Anolis sagrei: one gene and its partner. Each later gene encodes a partner of the first gene's protein in a complex. Links are inferred from orthologs where the notes say so. Each region holds a gene or a part of one and is shown in the gene's direction. Other genes may lie near its edges. The genes, in order: QRSL1 and GATC.

Region 1 (3,914 bases):
GAAGCACTTACTTCTCATGCTAAGGTCTATAGGGTTTAAGCTCGCTGCGTGGACTTTAATAATAACTTCGTTCGGGAAGTGTATGATGGGGAACATCATGTTGCTGGTGAAGCGGAGGGCATCATTCTTCCCGTACCGGTCGATCACCCAGGAGGGCATCGTGGTCCAACGTGGGCAGGAGGCGTGCAGGCATCGGCCCAGAGGCTGCGGGCAAGGGCCTGCTCCCCTTCCAGGGAGAGAGGCCAAGCAACCAGGCCTGGCCCAAAACAGGCTGAACACTTTCCTGGGCAACATGGTGAAGGCGAAGGGGAGAGATTAAGCTGCTTTAGCAACCCAGAAGTTCGTGAAGGCAGCTCAAAGGCACCCTTTCCCACAAATCTGAACTGAATCGTGATATCTCAAGATGATAACTTCTAGCTTTGCTCCTTTTCCTTCAAGTGAGCATCTCTCACATTATTTCCATTTATCAAAATGTAAAATAGACCTAGGAAGACAGAGAAGGAAGCAGTTGTTGCCTTCCAGTTGAATTTACTTCAATTCGTTGGGTTTTCCAAGAAAGGAGATTTCTGAGGTTCACAGAAAGTAAAGCTCGGTGGGTTTTGAGGGGGGAAGAAGGGCGGCTCCTTCCCTTCAGATTATGTCACCCACAGGCCCTATTTTCCCGAAATGCATTGCCTGGCACCCCCGCCCTCCCCATGAGGTAAAACTTGCAGCCTCCAGACACGGAACTCTCTCTCCCCTAAGTCTCCTTCAGACAAACTCCCTTTCTCAGTTCCACGAGAGGGACGGTCTGCCACCGGGGCCAATAACAACACGGCAACATTCCCTTCCTACAAGACTTGAGCCAATCAGCGGCGCTGATGTTAGCATGCGGCTTCAAGATGGCGGCGCCCATGAGCCTGTTCGGTCACTACCGGGAGGCAGGGACGGGTGCCGAATAGGGCTTCGCGGAACGTTCCGCCCGGCTCCGCGAGGAAGATGCTGCGCGCTTCGATCCGAGAGGTGAGGGAGGACACGCCGGGTGGGATTGGCTCTTTTCCCTCCGGTGGGCGGGGCAAGAGATTGACTCCTCACTTTCATTGGCGGGAGCACCTTTCAGTCTCTTGCTTGGCAACCTGGCCACCTAAGGGCCTTTCCACACAACCATATAACTGATAATGCATAATATCTGCTTTGAACTGGTTAATTGAGGGCCCTTCCACACAGCCATATATCCCAGACTATCAAGGCAGAAAATCCCACAATATCTGCTTTGAACTGGGTTATATGAGTCCACACTGGCATATAACGCAGTTCAAAGCAGAAAATGTGGGATTTTATCCAAGGCCTAATTGGGTTTTGGCCTCATCTGTGCTGCAGGTACATGAAGGAAGAGGCATTCCTGCCTGGCAGAATGGGGTTGGACTGGATGACCTTTGGGGTCCCTTCCAGCTCAATGGTTCATGTGGCTACACCAATGGCTACACTGGGAGAAGCTTCACCTGTTGTAATTCTGCTTGTCAGGAAGCTGCTCTTGCTACAGTGAAAACTGGAGGCTGCTCCTGGGTCCCTGAAATGGTGCCTCCAGTTTTCACTCTGGTAATCATAGGGCCCTTCCAGACAGGCCCTCTAGCCCAGGATCAGATCCCAGGTTTTCTGTTTATCCCAGACTCATATAATCCAGTTTAAAGGAGAAAACCTGGGATCAAATCCTAGGAAATAGGGCCTGTCTGGAAGGGCCCATAGCTACCTGACCAGCAGGAACACAACAGGTGAAGCTTCTGCCAGGAACACTTCCTGAAATTCCCTCTTTTTCATTGCTGTTGTTGTGTGCCTTTAAGTTCTTAAGGTGACCTTATTTCTGAGGCAGAGAGTGACTTGCCCAAGGTTCCTCAAAGAGTTTCCATGGCCAAGCAGGGAGTTAAACCATGTTCCCTAGAGTTGTAGTCCTGTGCTCAAACCACTATGCCTTGCCCGCTCTCTTCTGAACAGATGTTAAAGGTACAAGAGCAGCCTTCAGTTTTCACTGTGGTGACCCTTCCTATCATTGTTAGACATGCTATAGCCCACCTGCTCACACACCAGCAGAAAGAGGCTGTATCTACATTGTAGGATGAATGCAGTTTGACACCACTTTAACTGCCATGGCTCAATGTTATGGGAGTATAGGAGCTGCAGTTTAGTAAGGCACCAGAACTATTGGGCAGAGAAGGTGAAATGCCTTGCAAAACTGCAACACTCCTGTTTCCATAGCATTGAGCTTGGAACGTATCTCCCTCTACAAACCATCTAGGACCTTAAGATCATCTGTGGAGGCCTTGCTCTCAGTCTCACCGCCATCGCAGTCCTGTTCGGTGGGGATGAGAGACAGGGCCTTCTCCGTGGTGGCCCCTCGGCTGTGGAACTCCCTCCCTAATGAGGTTAGATCTGCCCCCTCCCTTCTGACCTTCCAGACAAAACTTAAATGCTGGTTATAGGATCAAGAGTTCACAGACTAGTTGTTTTACTGGGAAGACAAGAATTTATTGGGCTGTTTTGGATGACAATTTAAATATGGAAATTGTAATCTGGCGAGCTAGTTCTAATGTGTATTTTTTAACTATTTAATGTATGGATGTATTTATTATGTGTTATATCATGCTTGGCATTGAATTGTTGGAGTGTTTGCCTGTGCCTTCAAGTCACCTGTCAATATATGAATTCCTTAAGGGTTTCTTATAGAATACTCAGAGGCTCCTTCCTTGGAAATACAGCCTGCAGCCCTTTGTGTTCCTTGACAGACGTGACCCTGCTTAGCTTCCAAGGCCAGATAGGATTTGGTGCCTTGTAAGTTATTTGGACCTGGATGGGGGCACTTAAAGTCCTTGGAGTAATACAACAAAATCAAGTACAGCTATGCCATGTGACAAGGATGCTTTTGATTTTATTTATATTCCAGTCTTCTACCAAAACAGTCAAACTCAGTCATTGCAATTCAGAGACAGCTTTTGTAATGGGATTTTTAAAGAAGAAAAGCTGTTGTTGGTGGTGTGCTCCTTCAAGTAATTTATGAGTTATGGCAACCCTGAGATGAACCTACCAGGGGGTTTTCTTGGCAAGATTTGTAGGGAGGGTATTGCTTTTGCCTTCCTATGAAGCTGAGAGTGTGTGACTTGCAGGGTCACCTAATGGGTTTCTGTAGCCAAGTCGGGATTCAAACTCCAGTTTCCAGAGTTGCAGTCTAACAAGCCAACTTCTATAGCATGCCAGCTCCCACCTGTGATGTGCAGCACTGCAATTATGTCTGCATTTATTTAAGAAGTAGTGTCATTGAGCTTAGTAGAATTTACTTCTGGTTAGATAAATACAGATCTGTGTTCCCAGGTGAGCATTCTTGAGCATTGGCACACCATGTCCTCAAACATCTGTGTTTAGCTTTCCCCATCCTTCTCTTGTCACCCCACTGCCAAAAGTGCCTCCATAATGGAACATCCACTCCAACAGATGCAGGATATCAGGTTAGACAGCCCTTGATTACAGTCTCTCTCAGCATCTCTTCAGCAAGAGGTACTCTTAGGCCCCTTCCACGCGGCTGTATAAAATCCACCTTGAACTGGATTATATGGCAGTGTGGACTCAGATAACCCAGCTCAAAGTAGATAGTGTGGATTATCTGCCTTGATATTCTGGATTATATATCTGTGTGGAGGGGCCCTTAGCAAAACCTCCTGAGAAGACTTCAGGACCAAGGAAAGCAGGTCTTCTACATCCTTTTACACTGTCATTTCAGACTATTCTGTGTTTGAAATAAAGTGATGATCCCCATTTAACTATTGCATGCCTATTGAATATAATCCTTGTATATTCACTTATTTTCATTCAGATTCAGATTTCTCAACACATACATATATATGATCGCTTTAGCTTCTCTACAAAGTCTACAAAGTCCACAACCA
Region 2 (3,914 bases), on another chromosome or scaffold:
TCCTCTGCCCTATCCAGAGGAGGGCAATTAAAATGATCAAAGGTCTGGAAACCATGAATCGCTCTGAGGAGCGTATTAAAGAACTTGTCTGTTTAGCCTGCAGAAAAGAGAGGGGGCATGAGAGCCATATATCAATATGGGAAAGGGCGTCATGTTTTCTGCTCCCCTTGAAACTGAGACTAGGAAGTAAAAATGACAGGAAAGGAGATTCCACCTGAACAAGCCCTATGAGGAGCGGCTTAAAGACCTGAGCATGTTTAGCCTGAAGAAGAGAAGGCTGAGAGGAGACATGATAGCCATGTATAAATACGCAAGAGGAAGTCATAGGGAGGAGGGAGCAAGCTTGTTTTCTGCTGCCCTGGAGATTAGGACAAGGAACAATGGCTTCAAACTACAAGAAAGAAGATTCCATCTGAACATGAGGAAGAACTTCCTGACTGTGAGAGCCGTTCAGCAGTGGAACTCTCTCTCTGCCCCGGAGTGTGGTGGAGGCTCCTTCTTTGGAAGCTTTTAAACAGAGGCTGGATGGCCATCTGTCAGGGGTGTTTTGAATTCAATTTTCCTGCTTCTTGGTAGGGGGTTGGACTGGATGGCCCATGAGGTCTCTTCCAATTCTATGATTCTATGATTATGAAGACTGTAAGAAGAGGTGCTCAACGACAGAACTGTCTGCCTCAGAGTGTGGTGGACGCTCCTTCCTCAGAGGCTTTGAAACAGTGGCTGGATGGGCATCTGTCGGGTGTGCTTTGATTGTGCTTTTCCTGCATGGCAGGGGGTTGGACTAGATGACCCATGGGGTCTTTTCTAATTCTATGATTGTATGATCCCAGAGAAACTGCGGGTGCATCTCCACACTGTGAAATTGATGTCACCACTGGAATGGTATCGAATCCTGGGAGTATGGTGAGGCACTAGTCCTTTTGGGACTCCCAAAGGGTCATCCAGCCCAACCCCAGGATGTTCGGTAGGGAGACACTATGGGAGATGGCCAGCCAACGCTTCAAAGCCTCCGGAGAAGGGGACTCCAAAGGACTCCTAGGCAGCCGCAGGATAGCCCGCCTGCCCGCCCGCCCTCTGCGCATGCCCCGGGGCCCTCTTGCCTGGACGCAGAGCTGGTACCGCTTGAAGAGCTGGAGGCAGGGCTCCCCGCCGCTCTCGCCTCCTCCTCCTCCTCCGCCGCCGCCGCCTTCGCCCTTCAGGAACTTCTCGGCGAACCAGCGGTTGAAGCACTGGTCGTAGTCCCGTTTCAGCTCCGTGCAAGCCTCGCCCACGCTGTTCATGGCGGCGGAGCCAAAGGAAGACAAACAGCAGAAGCAGCAGCGCCCCCTCCCTCTCGAGCAAGACCATGGCGCAGGGATAGACCGTCACTTCCTGTCTGGCCCCCGGAACAGGAAGTCGAGCCAGGAAGCGGCGCTGGAGCTTCAGCATGAGGATCGCAAGCGCCTCTTGGGTCTTGAGAGCGGCTTTTGGCACTTGGGTCCCTCCTCGGCCGGGAAGCGTAAGAACTGGCTTGGCCAGGGTGCCTCTGAGCGCGTGCAGAGCGCCGCAAAGGGCTTCCTCACCCCAGCTCAAGCCGCAGCTTCTTTTTTAGCATGTCTACTTCGTAGGCTTTGAATGGCTTTAAAGGTTGGGTCTCTATCTAGAGAGGCAAGCAGGGGATTGAGGCATAAATGGTGCTAACACTCCTATCATCATTCTCTCCAACAAACAAACAAATGGAGTAATATATATTATTTGTATATTTACAATTGTATACTAAGGCCGCTTTGAATATAAATAGAATCCTAGAGTTGGAAGAGACCTCGTGGGCCATCCAGTCCAACCCTATTCTGCCAAGAAGCAGGAAAATCACATTGAAAGCCCCCACCGAACATGGCGATCCAACCTGTTTAAAAGCCTCCAAAGGAGCCTCCACCACACTCTGGGGCAGAGAGTTCCACTGCTGAACAGCTCTCACAGTTAGGAAGTTCTTTTCCTACCATGGGGCAGATATTATTGAGCCCTATAACATATATTGGACTCCAGAGTGCTTTTCAGAAAGACATCTGGTCTCAATTTAGATCCTCTGTGATGATAAATGGTCAACTGTTCTTGCTCCATATCTAGATGTGTGTGTGTGTCGCACACAAAGATGATTTCACACTGCACTGGCATAAAACACGGATAATCTCCTATTATATATAATTTGTGTGTTCTTATTTGGATGCAATTAATGCTGACATTTGGCATAACTCTATATAGTCCAAAAAGTAGGACCAGACTACCATGCAAAGCAACCTACTAAATTCCATCTTGATATGTCTTAGGCTTAACCGCAACTAAACTATTTCCTCCTACAATGGTAATGTACCTGTAAGCAAGCTTTTATTAAGACCATACAGATGTAGCTACTGTTAAGATTTTTAGCATTGAATATATTGTAATAGATTTGATAGAAACATAGAATCCTTGAGTTAGAAGAGACCTCGTGGGTCATCCAGTCCAACCCCCTGCCAAGAAGCAGGAAAATCACATTCAAAACACCCCCAATAGATGGCCATCCAACCTCTGTTTAAAAGCCTTCAAAGAAGGAGCCTCCACCACACTCCAAAGCAGAGAGTTCCACTGCTGAACAGCTGTCACTGTTAGGGAGTTCTTCTTAATGTTCAGGTGGAATCTTCTTTCCTGTAGTTTGAAGCCAGTGCATCCTAGTCTCCAGGGCAGCCGAAAACAAACATGCTTCCTCCTCCCTATGACTTCCCCTCACATCTTTATCCATGGCCCTCATCATATCTCCTCTCAGCCTTCTCTTCTTCTGGCTAAACATGCCCAGCTCTTTAAGCCACTCCTTGTAGGGCTTGTTCTTCGGACCCTTGATCCTTTGAGTTGCCCTCCTCTGGACACATTCCAGCTTGTCAACATTTCCCTTTAATTGCAGTGCCCACAATTAGACACAGTGTGATTCCAGGTGTGATCTGACCAAGGCAGAATAGAGGGGTAGCATGACTTCCCTGGATCTAGGCACTAGACTCCTATTTATGCAGACCTAAAACCCATTGGCATTTTTCGCCGCCACATGACATTGTTGGCTCATGTTTAACTTGTTGTCAACAAGGACTCCACGATCTTTTTCACATGTACTGCTGTCGTGCCACGCATCCTCCATTCAGTCTCTTTGCACTTCATTTTTTCTGCCTAAGTGGAGTAGCTTGGTTACTGTTGAACTTCTTTTTGTTCGTTTTGGCCCATCATCTCTCTAATCTGTTCAGATTGTTTTGAATTCTTCTGGGGTATTGGCTATCCCTGCTAATTTGGTGTCATCTGCAAACTTGATGATCATACCTTCTAACCCTTAATCTAAGTCATTTATAAAGATATTGAATAGGAGGACTGGGCCCAGGACAAAATATATTTATTTATAAATAGCTATTATAATAAAAGTTGTATTGCAATGCTTTAGTTGTGAGCCGCTTTGAGGGCCCTTCCACACAGCCATAGAAGCCAGAATATCAAGGCAGAAAATCCCACAAGATCTGCTTTGAATTAGGTTGAGTCCACACTGCGAAGTATTCCAGTTCAAAGCAGATAATGTAGGATTTTAGTCAGCTTTGTGGAAGGGGTCTGAGTCTCCATATAGTGAGAAAAAGTGGGATATAAATAAACATAATAGTAATGATTATGATTAACTATGTAACAGCTTTTGTTCCTAAGTTAGCAGTCATTTCCTAATTGGTTCTATCATAAAAACATGGGAAAAGTTTATTGCACTGCCAAAACTTTGTTTGTGCAAGACATCCTTCAGCACATTTTGCAATTGTTGTTCAGTGAATATCTGATAAGAGTCTCAACCAATTCAACCTCGTTTTTGGCAGACACAAAAAGGAGGTTTCAGGTGTAGAACAACTACTTTCAAAGTAAAAACCACACAATTAAGC

The links.
Region 2: QRSL1 (region 1) and GATC share a complex: the UniProt entries of both Homo sapiens proteins name them as parts of the heterotrimeric GatCAB amidotransferase (AdT) complex. The link is inferred for Anolis sagrei from reciprocal best matches to the Homo sapiens genes QRSL1 and GATC.

The regions. Positions count from the first base shown.
Region 1 is NC_090021.1:95,337,840-95,341,753, reverse strand, and holds the start of QRSL1 (glutamyl-tRNA(Gln) amidotransferase subunit A, mitochondrial), read left to right. Parts: upstream 1-877; 5' UTR 878-978; coding exon 979-1,002; intron 1,003-3,914. Other genes in the region: RTN4IP1 (reticulon-4-interacting protein 1, mitochondrial), read right to left, coding at 12-294. UniProt on the Homo sapiens protein: Allows the formation of correctly charged Gln-tRNA(Gln) through the transamidation of misacylated Glu-tRNA(Gln) in the mitochondria. The reaction takes place in the presence of glutamine and ATP through an activated gamma-phospho-Glu-tRNA(Gln).
Region 2 is NC_090034.1:46,653,848-46,657,761, reverse strand, and holds the start of GATC (glutamyl-tRNA(Gln) amidotransferase subunit C, mitochondrial), read left to right. Parts: upstream 1-1,293; 5' UTR 1,294-1,426; coding exon 1,427-1,498; intron 1,499-3,914. Other genes in the region: TRIAP1 (TP53-regulated inhibitor of apoptosis 1), read right to left, coding at 1,120-1,280. UniProt on the Homo sapiens protein: Allows the formation of correctly charged Gln-tRNA(Gln) through the transamidation of misacylated Glu-tRNA(Gln) in the mitochondria. The reaction takes place in the presence of glutamine and ATP through an activated gamma-phospho-Glu-tRNA(Gln).